Saccharomyces cerevisiae S288C: one gene and its partners. Changing the gene in region 1 together with any one later gene gives a genetic interaction. Each region holds a gene or a part of one and is shown in the gene's direction. Other genes may lie near its edges.

Evidence for each region.
Region 2: mutations in PPT2 (region 1) and SPO20 together harm fitness more than expected from each alone (negative genetic interaction), as found in Saccharomyces cerevisiae (2 studies listed by BioGRID).
Region 3: mutations in PPT2 (region 1) and PEX15 together harm fitness more than expected from each alone (negative genetic interaction), as found in Saccharomyces cerevisiae (2 studies listed by BioGRID).
Region 4: mutations in PPT2 (region 1) and PEX22 together harm fitness more than expected from each alone (negative genetic interaction), as found in Saccharomyces cerevisiae (2 studies listed by BioGRID).

The regions. Positions count from the first base shown.
Region 1 is NC_001148.4:271,794-274,617, reverse strand, and holds PPT2 (holo-[acyl-carrier-protein] synthase), read left to right. Parts: upstream 1-1,802; coding exon 1,803-2,324; downstream 2,325-2,824. Other genes in the region: ATP-binding cassette long-chain fatty acid transporter PXA1, read right to left, coding at 1-1,363; ATG5 (Atg5p), read right to left, coding at 2,424-2,824. UniProt on the Saccharomyces cerevisiae protein: Transfers the 4'-phosphopantetheine moiety from coenzyme A to a Ser of mitochondrial acyl-carrier-protein.
Region 2 is NC_001145.3:305,821-309,185, forward strand, and holds SPO20 (Spo20p), read left to right. Parts: upstream 1-1,668; coding exon 1,669-2,862; downstream 2,863-3,365. UniProt on the Saccharomyces cerevisiae protein: Required to maintain the prospore membrane to the nucleus during sporulation in order to capture the daughter nuclei and form the spores.
Region 3 is NC_001147.6:245,473-248,811, forward strand, and holds PEX15 (Pex15p), read left to right. Parts: upstream 1-1,677; coding exon 1,678-2,829; downstream 2,830-3,339. Other genes in the region: serine/threonine protein kinase PSK2, read left to right, coding at 1-1,330; bifunctional N-glycosylase/AP lyase NTG2, read right to left, coding at 2,920-3,339. UniProt on the Saccharomyces cerevisiae protein: Peroxisomal docking factor that anchors PEX1 and PEX6 to peroxisome membranes. PEX26 is therefore required for the formation of the PEX1-PEX6 AAA ATPase complex, a complex that mediates the extraction of the PEX5 receptor from peroxisomal membrane.
Region 4 is NC_001133.9:40,523-43,233, forward strand, and holds PEX22 (ubiquitin-protein transferase activating protein PEX22), read left to right. Parts: upstream 1-1,654; coding exon 1,655-2,197; downstream 2,198-2,711. Other genes in the region: GPB2 (Gpb2p), read left to right, coding at 1-1,379; ACS1 (acetate--CoA ligase 1), read right to left, coding at 2,359-2,711. UniProt on the Saccharomyces cerevisiae protein: Involved in peroxisome biogenesis.

The DNA.
Region 1 (2,824 bases):
ACCATGTATATTTTAAAACATAGTCTTCCAACATATTGTAACCAAACTTGACTTTATCAACCAGCAGCATTTTTTCCATCAGCACATCATACAACTCTTTAACTTTCGTCCTTTCCACTGCTGTTCCTTGGTAAAATGCGATCTCTTCGCTATTATTTATCATGTTTAGATGATAATTGTAGTAATCGCCGTCTGAAGCAGATCTCTCGCCTGCCAATTTACCTAATGGTGGCGTGTATTTCCTCAAAATAAACCCAGTAATGAAATAATTAACAAATATACCTGCTACTCCCACAGTTCCCAAATTATCACGTAAATAAACCGAAAAGAATATTAAATCAATAACTGGCTTTGCAATGTTTGCAAAAACGGAGCATGTCGCATCGCAAAATTTTGCAACATCATTAGTAATGGAGTTGTCGATATTCTTGATTACCGAATTGGACGCCTTTGCATCAAAAATTAATTTGTAAAATGTTAGTCTTTTATCCAAATACATGTCATGGATGTAACGTGTCAAATTTACCCTAAAGTTTAAACTCAACTTCCTTTGAAGTAGCTTAATAGCACTATTAGTATAAGAAGCAGGGACAGCAATTAAAAACCAACACCCTAAGTCCCACAGAAAGCTTCTTCCTCTACCAGCAATTATATTTTTGACTATTTGTCCATCCAGCTTGGCTACAAACAAAGAGAGCCAAGTTCTCATCACCAGGAAAAAAATTTGAGCAGTTAAAAGAAGAAAGTTTTTGTCAAAAACTGTTGGAATTAAAATTTTAGACAAGACGTTCATTTGGTTTAAAAATTTTGAGTAGAATAACTGCGAATTCTTGGCTCTTTCCAGTTCTACATTTTTAAAAAGAAACTTATCGTGTTCATATACATCGTTATCCTTTGGTGGAATAAATATCCTTTTCCTTTTTTTTTTATCTGTAGCATTCATAAATTTGTTGTCATCGGGACTCTGGCGGTCGACTAATTCCACTTCAGGAATATACATTATTCTTGCACCACTGTCTAATTGCATTTGAGATCTTGTTCTTCTTATTAAAGGTCTCCTATTCCTTCTCTTCCATGGAAACTTGTAAAATTTATAACATTTTAGAATAATTTTGAAAGTACTATATGTTACACCAGAAAAAAGTGTGACACCAGATAGGAAAAGCGATACCAATAAAATCTGGGCCCTTCTTCTTAGCTTAGGATGAGCAGCGTTTGATCTAGATATCTGTAGAAGATGCCGTATCAATAACTTGAAATATACTTTAGGTGTGACATCGTTAACGTGTAGCCCAATACAGTGAGTATGTAGATTCAGGAGCAAACTCTTTAGTTTCGCTGGTGCTGCTAATGTTGTTGACATTTCTGTGTTATGCGTTCTAAGACTTCCAGATTGTCTGAAACGGGTTTCATTGTTAGTCTCACTTCTTAGAGAAGCATTCTTATATATCTTGACTCTAAAAGGGCTGAAAATAACCGCCGAAATTAAAAATTGGGGTAAAAAAGGGTAACGAAACTTATGCGGTTAAGCCCGATCAACATATAGCTGAATATTGCGTCAAGAATAATTTCTTAATCGGGATTATTTCCGAAGGAAGAAATTCTATTGAAAAAAAAATCTTAACATCAAAACTGCTTATATACATTCCACAGGTTCAAGCGGTCATAAGAGATCTGACTTTTGATAGAAAAGCTAGTTCTTTAAGAAGGCTGAATAGAAGCTAAGCACTATTTTCTTATCAGGAGTATTGCTTTCTAATGAACGTTTATTTCATAAGTGCTAGCTTTGAATGCCTCCAGTGATGAGTTTTGCATCGAGGAATATTGGACGTAAGATAGCAGGAGTGGGAGTTGACATTGTATACTTGCCAAGATTTGCACATATACTAGAGAAATATTCCCCATTCGACCCATGTGGCCGTTCTACCTTGAATAAAATAACACGGAAGTTCATGCATGAAAAGGAAAGATTTCATTTCAGTAATCTTCTCATCGAAGAAAACTGCTTAACTCCACGATTGCATGAATATATAGCGGGAGTTTGGGCTTTGAAGGAATGCTCATTGAAAGCGTTGTGTTGCTGTGTTTCAAAGCATGATCTACCTCCTGCCCAAGTACTGTACGCTGGAATGCTATATAAAACACAAACCGATACAGGTGTACCTCAGTTAGAGTTTGATAAGATGTTTGGAAAAAAGTATCCAAAGTATCAACAGCTCTCGAAAAACTACGATTCTCTCTTTTCCACTCATGAGTTTTTAGTTTCGCTATCCCATGATAAAGATTATTTAATTGCAGTAACAAACTTGGTAGAAAGAGAGTAAAAGTTTTCTTGCAGCCGTATAAATGTGGCCCTATTTTCAACGTCCAAGTTATTTTCTGCGATATTTGAATGACACTTTTAAATGCGTATATAACAGCTCTTAGAGCTCAGAGGAAGCTTTATCGCCGCCTTTTATAGGAACAAGAGTTATGTACAAAAAGCCATCAAAACTTCGCAATTTAGAATACAAATCATACAGGAGCATATGCCAAGGAATTTCAATTCCTTGACAAATAACCATGACATCATTACCATTGATTCCTTCCTTTACGTCCAGAATATCGCCTTCAATATCCTTCAACGTAGGATTGACTCCAGTCATACTGATAGTTGGTTGTGATATTCGAAAAGTTCCTGATGTCCTTGAGGTTTGAATGATGAGCGGTATATGTCGCGGTCTTGATGAACTTATCTTGTTAGATATTTCAATGAAATCTTGGAAATTTCTCGTAATAACACTGCCCCAAAATTTTCGAGCTTCGTTGACCGATAAAGACATAA
Region 2 (3,365 bases), on another chromosome or scaffold:
CAACTAATGCAAAAGATAGTGGGGAAAAACTTCAAAAACTAACAAAAAGAAGTGTTAAAGATGAACTTTTTTCTTTTGTATCGTCGGCTTGCCACATTCGATAAGTTAATAAAACACAAACGGGCAACACATCTACGTACTTTTTATGTGAAGACAAGAGAAAGAATACATCACTGATACGTGCGTCTATTGCGCAGCACTGTACTATTGCGAAGAACTGAGTGAAGGCAAAGAATGAGATGATCGATGCTTAGCCGACTGTTAAACTTACTGAGCGGTAGCCTCTACTAGTTCCTTAGTCAGATCGCACTCAACTTGGAATGTTCCGTCAGGCCCACGGAAGAAAAAGCAACAAAAGAAAGAAAAACCGGACAACATGCGGGAAAAATGCAAACTGTGTGAGGGAAAAATTAACTTTAAAGATTACATCAACGGCGGGAAAAGATCCTTCCGCAGTCCTTCTACTGCGGTTTCCCTGCAGGCACAGCTAACCGGAGGGAAGACAAGTCAAGCGGACATGCAGTTCCCGCTCAGGCTTCTTTGCAGAGAAATCGGAATATGAATTTTTTGTGTTTTTTGTTAACTTCTTTACCATTCGCATCACGGGAAGAGTGTGTTGGCATAAGAGGCGCAAGAAAAAGGTGACCCACGGTGGTGGGAAAGAGAAGAAAAAGCCGTTTGCGGAAAGCAATGTTTTGCCCATTCAGAAACAATATCTTTGCTGTATCCCTACATGTATTATGCCGCGTTGCTTGTGCAGGTACGGAGTCCCTGCACGATTTTTCAACAAGGTCTAGATTTGCTAAGACGATGAGGCGGAGCCCGAAACAAACAAGCCAAAAACCGGAATTTCGCGCTTGGTGTGCTTTCGCATCTTTTCGTGTGGTGAATGCACCTGGTGCACGCTGCGAAGGTGACGTAGCAATCCAAAAAAGGGAAGTCTAGGCGCTTTCAACCGCCCCCCACCGTGCATGCGGATTGGTTGTCACAATTCGCAGACATATTGGCAATGTTTCCTCCCCTCCTGTTGATGCGGGTAAGGGGTGTCTGTTATGCAGGAACAGGAAGGTAAAAATTAAATGGGCCTTAATTCTGTAGACACTCTCTTGGGGTAATAAGGTTAAAAGCCATTGTTGAAGTACGGAATCATCTCTTCATTTTTTCAGCGCTTGTAAGGAATTAATCCCCAGGAAGGTGCCGATGTAATGAGAGAAGTATTCTTGTTGTATCTCTTTGGTTCGGAGTATTTCCTTCTTTCTTTTCTTTGTAGTTTTTATGCAAATGCAGGGAACAGAGTACCCGGTTAAGGCTGTTAGTCAGCCGCACTCTACACAAAATTACTTGGCAAACACGTTGGTTGGGAAAAGCTTTATACTTGGCGGTGTAGTAATTGTAAAGGATCAAGATTGTGTCATGCTAATGTGCCGCTGTGTAACAACCTTTTTGAAGCGCGTATTTACCACCGGCAAAAGGCCATTGTGTCACATAAAAAAAAACTCCCGCCAAAGCCAGGTTCATTTTGCATAAGATTCACCACAGTACGGAAAATACGATAAGTTAACCAGTAATTTGCTCGCTTTAGCTACTGATAAACCTTCTCTGTTAACACTATTATTTTTTTATTACTTTAGATTTTTCCGTTTGTGAATAGCCATTTTTAGATATATAATGGGGTTCAGAAAAATACTTGCTAGCAAATCGCATCACAGTCGCCACCATAATCAGCACCATAAGAACCTGAAGTTGCAAAATCATCGCTATGTACTTATTTCCAATATTACAGGATCCCATGAAACAAAATATTTATCACCCTTCAGGATGGACAATTGTTCAGGAAGCAGAAGACGTGATAGGCTACATGTGAAGCTTAAATCCTTGAGGAATAAAATCCACAAACAACTTCACCCAAACTGTCGGTTCGATGACGCCACTAAGACTAGTGATGATAAATGCGTCTCTTATGAGGTGCCCGAAAGGGATGGCCTTGCTACTATTTCGTTAGAAGAGGTTTTTCCAAAGTCCAACAGGTGCCAAATACCTGAAGAAAACTTGGGAGAAACAGATAGCGTTATTCACAGAGATTTGGGAAATTTTGCAAATGAGAATGACTATCCACAGTGGAGAAAAGTTGAAAGTCAATATAACTTAGAGAATGTCCAGCCTGAGGAGGATGAAATAGTTGATAGACTCAGGTCCGAGATTAGAAGCACTAAATTAAAATCTGTAAAAACGACAAGCAGAACACTTGAAAAAGCTATAGAGGCTCGATGTACTGGAAAGAGAGTTCTTCAACAACTAAGTTGTCAGAGCAACCAACTCACCAAGATCGAGAGCAATTGTGACATGCTTAAAATTCAATCTAACGTAGCCGACCGAAAGATTGACGAACTTGCCCATGAAAATAGAAGCCTGCTTGCATTAAAATCACCCAACCCCTTCAGGAAGAAAAGGGAGAGAGAAAAGCGAGACCAGATCTACAATTTGAAGTTAAAGCATCGTCACTTACAGCAAGAAACTATGAAAAGAGCCCAAGATTCTGACAAAAATTTAGCCATAAATCTAAGTTCTGAATATGGACGGTATGGCCAAGGGGTGGAAAGACAGCGTATTCTTAGAGATGCCCAGAAGTATCAGTTTGAAGCCGATGAAGAAGATAACCAAATGGAAATCGACTTGTACGGAAACCTAGAACAAATAAAAGCGGTGAGTGGTGACTTGAAAATTATGGCTCACGCTTTTGGCAGAGAGTTTGAAGCACAAAACACTAGAATGTTTGACATCGAGAACAATGTACAGCAGGCAGATAATGCTTTACAGGCCAAGCGATATAGATTGGAGAAAGTGATCGGGAAAAGATGGTGATCTGTTATACACACAAAATATCGTGTATAAATATATTGAATAAATAGTTTCTAAAAAGGCATACGCAGATATTCTTGCGAAAGAGAAAAAAAAAAGAGCGAGGGGGACATTAGTACTGAAGGTCTCAATTCTTCTTTGTATTTTCTTTCGGAGTTGTCAGACAAAGCTTTCTCTTTCCCATAAATAAAGTGCATTCAAACATCGGCAGGTTTGTTTTTCCCAGTTGTTACGTATTTGTTTCCCGTTCCATTCATGATCTTAAACTGGGTTAACTGAAAAATCAACATGATTTTGTGAAAAGTAAAAGAGGGTAAGAAAGATAGATACCGCTGTCGTGGGACTATATTTTTTACAGTACCAAGTCTACTTGCTTCTCATAAAGTTGATAAGTTATAATTCATATAATTTCATTTGTCAAAAAAGATTTTAGTTACAAAACGATATCAAAGTTCAATCTTGTTGGGAAAAAGGAAAACATTATGAAGGGTTTCCGGTAATCACTG
Region 3 (3,339 bases), on another chromosome or scaffold:
TTATACCACCGTTCCTTCGCAGCTACCGATGTTAAAGGAGAACGAAATTGATGTCGTTGGCAGTAGAGGTAGTTCCAGTGCATCTTCCAAGAAATCTTCGGAAAAAATTCCTGTGAATACTTTGAAGGCAATGGCTGATCTGTCGATTAGCTCCGCTGAAACGATTTCTAATTCAGACGATGAAGTAGACTTAAATCAAGTGAATGAAAAACTACGAGAAACTTCTTGCGGTAAAGTGAGAGGTATCGAATCTAATGACAACAATAACTATGACGATGACATGACAATGGTTGATGATCCTGAGTTAAAACATAAAATTGAATTAACGAAAATGTACACGCAGGACAAATCAAAATTTGTAAAGGACGACAACTTTAAAGTGGATGAAAAATTTATAATGAGGATAATTGAACCGATAAACGGAGAAGAAATCAAAAAGGAAACAAATGAGCTAGACAAAAGAAATTCTACTTTAAAAGCTACGTACTTGACTACTCCAGAGGCTAATATAGGCTCACAAAAGCGCATAAAGAAATTTTCTGATTTTACTATTCTGCAAGTGATGGGTGAGGGTGCGTACGGTAAAGTCAATTTATGCATTCATAACAGAGAACACTATATCGTGGTCATCAAAATGATTTTCAAAGAGAGGATTTTAGTAGACACATGGGTGAGAGATAGAAAATTAGGTACTATACCTTCTGAGATCCAAATTATGGCGACCTTGAATAAAAATTCCCAAGAAAATATCTTGAAGTTATTAGATTTTTTTGAAGATGACGATTATTATTACATTGAAACACCGGTCCATGGAGAAACTGGTAGTATTGATCTATTTGATGTTATCGAATTCAAAAAAGATATGGTTGAACATGAAGCTAAACTGGTGTTTAAACAGGTAGTCGCTAGTATAAAGCATTTACATGACCAAGGAATTGTTCATAGAGACATAAAGGACGAAAATGTTATTGTTGATTCTCATGGCTTTGTAAAATTAATCGATTTCGGTTCGGCTGCCTATATCAAGAGTGGACCATTCGATGTTTTTGTGGGAACAATGGACTATGCTGCACCTGAAGTCCTTGGTGGTTCCTCTTACAAAGGTAAACCACAAGATATTTGGGCTCTTGGTGTGCTACTTTATACCATAATTTATAAAGAGAATCCTTATTACAACATTGATGAAATCTTGGAAGGTGAATTAAGGTTCGATAAATCGGAACATGTCAGTGAAGAATGCATCAGTTTGATAAAAAGAATTTTGACAAGAGAAGTTGATAAAAGACCTACTATTGATGAAATATATGAAGATAAATGGCTTAAAATCTAGTTTTCCGTACTCTCCAAGATAAAGGGAAAGAATAATTTAATCCATTTTCATAACCATTTACCTTCATAAATGTTCTATTCTTTTTTTGGCTATATATTAATTACATTTTTAATATCATATCATTGCTCTATATCCTTCTTGTCCAGCCTCTATGCAGTATTTTCTTTCATTCTATTTTGGGGCAAACTTCTGCGCTGAGCGGCTTATCGCCGTCGGAGTGACATCAAGTACCATAGAAAAGTCATCGTAGACTTACATATTTAGGCAAGAGAAATAGTTAGGTAAACAGAAAGAGGCACTAGCAGAACGTACTACGGTGTGGTTTATACAAGAGGGTTCTGTGAATAATGGCTGCAAGTGAGATAATGAACAATCTGCCTATGCATTCCCTCGATTCTTCTCTAAGGGATTTACTTAACGATGACTTATTCATTGAAAGTGATGAATCGACCAAGTCGGTAAATGATCAGAGGAGTGAAGTATTTCAAGAATGTGTGAACCTTTTCATAAAAAGAGATATCAAGGATTGCCTAGAAAAAATGTCTGAGGTTGGATTTATTGATATTACCGTTTTCAAGTCCAACCCTATGATATTAGATTTATTTGTCAGCGCCTGTGATATTATGCCCAGCTTTACCAAATTAGGTTTAACACTGCAGAGTGAGATTTTGAATATTTTCACGTTAGATACCCCTCAATGTATTGAGACAAGAAAAATTATTCTCGGTGACCTCAGTAAACTTTTGGTCATCAATAAATTCTTTCGATGCTGTATCAAGGTTATTCAGTTTAACTTAACTGATCACACCGAACAAGAAGAAAAAACTCTGGAGCTTGAATCCATAATGAGTGATTTCATTTTCGTATACATAACGAAAATGAGGACAACTATAGATGTAGTTGGCTTACAAGAATTAATCGAGATATTCATCTTTCAGGTGAAGGTAAAACTGCATCATAAAAAACCCTCACCGAATATGTATTGGGCGCTTTGCAAAACATTACCTAAGTTATCTCCAACCCTAAAGGGCCTTTACTTATCTAAAGATGTTTCCATAGAGGATGCTATTCTGAACTCAATAGATAATAAAATACAAAAAGATAAGGCGAAGTCTAAAGGTAAACAAAGAGGAGTGAAACAGAAAATACACCATTTTCACGAGCCTATGTTACACAATAGTAGTGAAGAACAGGTTAAGGTTGAGGATGCGTTTAATCAACGCACCTCTACTGATAGTAGACTCCAGAGTACTGGAACGGCGCCCCGTAAAAAAAACAATGATATTACTGTTCTGGCTGGTTCATTTTGGGCTGTCCTGAAGCATCATTTCACAAGAAGTGTGCTGAACAAAAACGGACTTCTGCTCACAGGTCTGCTGCTACTCTTATGTTTGAAAAAATATAAGTCATTGATGGCAATTTTCAAACATGTTCCAGCGGCCTTTCACACTGTATACCCCCAGATTGTAGGGTTGCTAAAACTTCTAGCGAGTATATGAGAAATATTTGAATAGTTTATAAAACCCTACCTACTTATTTTAATGACATACATAATGGTTTTTCATCTTTTTCCACAATGAATGGTGGTTCTATTTTTTCTTGTGTCTTTCTGTTGTAATTCCATTTGTAACCGTGTCCAACCAATGCGAATATACTTTCTCGATGTCTTCTTTGTCCTCCAATTGATGAAATTTGGAAGATTCGATTAGCTTCTCATTGCGAGCATTGCAGACATCGTTTGCTAGACATAAATCACACCTCTTACCCCTGGCCATGCAGATCAATTGACCAAATCCAACCAAAACGGTGTTTATTTCGTACCACAGTGAGTGAGGTAGCCAAACCTGTAACTCCTTTCTAGTATGCTCGGCAGTCTTACACTTAATAGGGTCTACCCAATTCCACATTTTACACAGCCTATGGACATGAACATCGACGCATATGCCGGCAATCAGCCCCCAACCTTTTTGCAGTGTTAAATATCCCATTTTAGGTCCAACTCCAGGTAA
Region 4 (2,711 bases), on another chromosome or scaffold:
AAATAGATATCATAGTACAACCTTCCAAATATAATGCATATCCGACAATGTCATCGAGGTTTGGTCACTTACAAATTTCTATTGATAATCCAAATAGGAGAGCTAGCGTTCATTCTTCAAGCATGAACGAAATTCATAAAATGGGGAGTGCTTCCATGAAACAAGGTAGCAGCATCACTTCCGGGCGGCTTGAAAAAGCAGCAGTACTTTCATCATTACCTCATAATACTGTGCACACGGTTATAATATTTGGTGGTTACAGACAAACCGGTGATGATCGTTACGAAGCAATGAATGATTTGTGGAAGATAGAGATACCCGTGATACGTCGCGGTAAAAAAGGTTATTGTAAGTTTTCAGAGACAGCTAACGCGATACTACTGACGCCAAGCGAAAAGGACAAATCGGATTGGCCCGAAGAAAGAGCCTTTTCTGCCTTTTCTGTTCATGGGACTTCGTTAATGGATAGGAGTTCTCTTGACATGAGACTATTGAACAACTTAAAAAACCATTTTGTTTTAAAACCGTCATATATATCACAGGATCGCGTTGTTAGTCCTAAACCGGTTTTCCCCATGATGGTTCATGGCACGCATCAAGATCTTTTCAATAGTGGCTCTGCGGCACAAGAATCGCCCAAAGCTGGTGCCTCGGCCAGCAGCGCAAGTGCTGCGAGCTTTGATCCCGATATGGACGATAATTTGGAAAATTATATAGTCAATCCAGGGAGAAAATCGTCATCTATTCCAATGACTGCGATAGGGAGACAGAGATTAATTTTAAGCCAAGAGAAGCCAGTAGGTAAAACTGTTGTATTGCATGGTGGGTCTAACGGTCTCAACGTTCTTGATGATATGTGGTTGATGGACTTAGAGTGTGAGACATGGACTCCAATAGAGACATTTGCAAAGGCAGATTCGAGCGAAGACGGTGATGAAAAATTGGATAGTGTGAACGTAGGTCTCGTTGGCCACAGAATGGAAAGTATTGGACGAATATGTGTATGTATAGGTGGTATGGTACAAGAGGATGTTGACCAATTTTACTCGGAGAATGATGATGAGCCTCCTCGAAAACGCAAGGTCGATACATTACCGTTGGGTGGTAATTTTTTGAACACAATTGATTTAAGCACGCAGTGTTGGGAAGAACATAAAATTACTCTGTCCAAGAAGGAAGACGATGAGGACAGACAAGATAGCGAAAATGAAGATACAAATTCAAATATAGTAGTTGGTGTCGGTGGCACTTCTTTGCAATGTGACAAAAGTATTATTTTGATTGGCGGATTGATATCTAGACGGAGCAATGTAAAAGAAATATATTTACATGGTACCATAACGAAAAGTATTTTTCCTAGCGTAAATCCTAGTGCATAAAAAGGCAGTTTTCAATGCTTTCACTTTGTAAACTTTGTTTAGTAGTAGAATATAATATATTCAGTTTTGTTTTATAGTCACATAACACTTTGTCTTTCAAAGAATAATCTCCTTCGCAATACCAGCGAAATATTTTGGCAAAAAATTAACAATTAGGTTCATAGTCCCCTAATTCAATTAATCGAAAAAAAAAAAATAAAATATAAGGGAAGATTGTGCTGATGAAATAGACAATGAAACAATAATGAAGAATAAAGAAGAAGAAGATATAAAACATGCCACCACCATCAAGAAGTAGAATAAACAAAACAAGAACATTAGGAATAGTGGGTACAGCTATAGCAGTGTTGGTCACGTCCTACTATATATATCAAAAGGTGACAAGTGCAAAGGAAGATAATGGGGCACGACCTCCAGAGGGTGATTCAGTAAAAGAGAACAAAAAGGCAAGGAAGAGCAAATGTATTATAATGAGCAAGTCGATACAAGGACTGCCCATAAAGTGGGAGGAGTACGCCGCTGATGAAGTGGTTTTGCTGGTACCTACGAGCCACACTGATGGATCAATGAAACAAGCCATTGGGGATGCCTTTCGCAAGACGAAAAACGAACACAAAATCATATATTGCGATAGCATGGATGGATTATGGTCATGTGTAAGACGGCTAGGTAAATTTCAGTGCATATTGAACTCCAGGGACTTCACAAGTAGTGGTGGTAGCGATGCAGCAGTCGTTCCTGAAGATATAGGCAGGTTTGTCAAATTTGTTGTTGATAGCGATGTAGAGGATGTGCTGATTGACACTTTATGCAATTAATGTAGAAAAGAGTTTCTTGTAACAGTATGTAAAGAATAAATAATTATAAGTATAAATAAAAAGAGAAGGTGAAATAATAATAAGTAAGCAGCTCGGTTATAAGAGAACAAAAACACACGAAAAAAAAAAAGTCGTCAATATAAAAAGGAAAGAAATCATCATTACAACTTGACCGAATCAATTAGATGTCTAACAATGCCAGGGTTTGACAATGTAGAAACGTCGCCTAGTTGGTCACTTTCTCCTGCTAGGATTTTTCTTAAAATACGTCTCATAATTTTGCCGGATCTTGTCTTGGGCAAGTCATCCACTAAAATGATCAATTTTGGTGCGGCAAATGGCCCGATGTCTTTTCTAACAGTAAAGACCAAATGCTTCTTGATATCTTGTAATTCATCATCTGTTGCGGTGGACCAACTAGATTTGTTTTTCAACACCACAAATGCAGCAACTGCTTGACCAGTCAAGTCATCGTTGAATCCGACAACAGCACACTCGGCCACAATTGGATCTT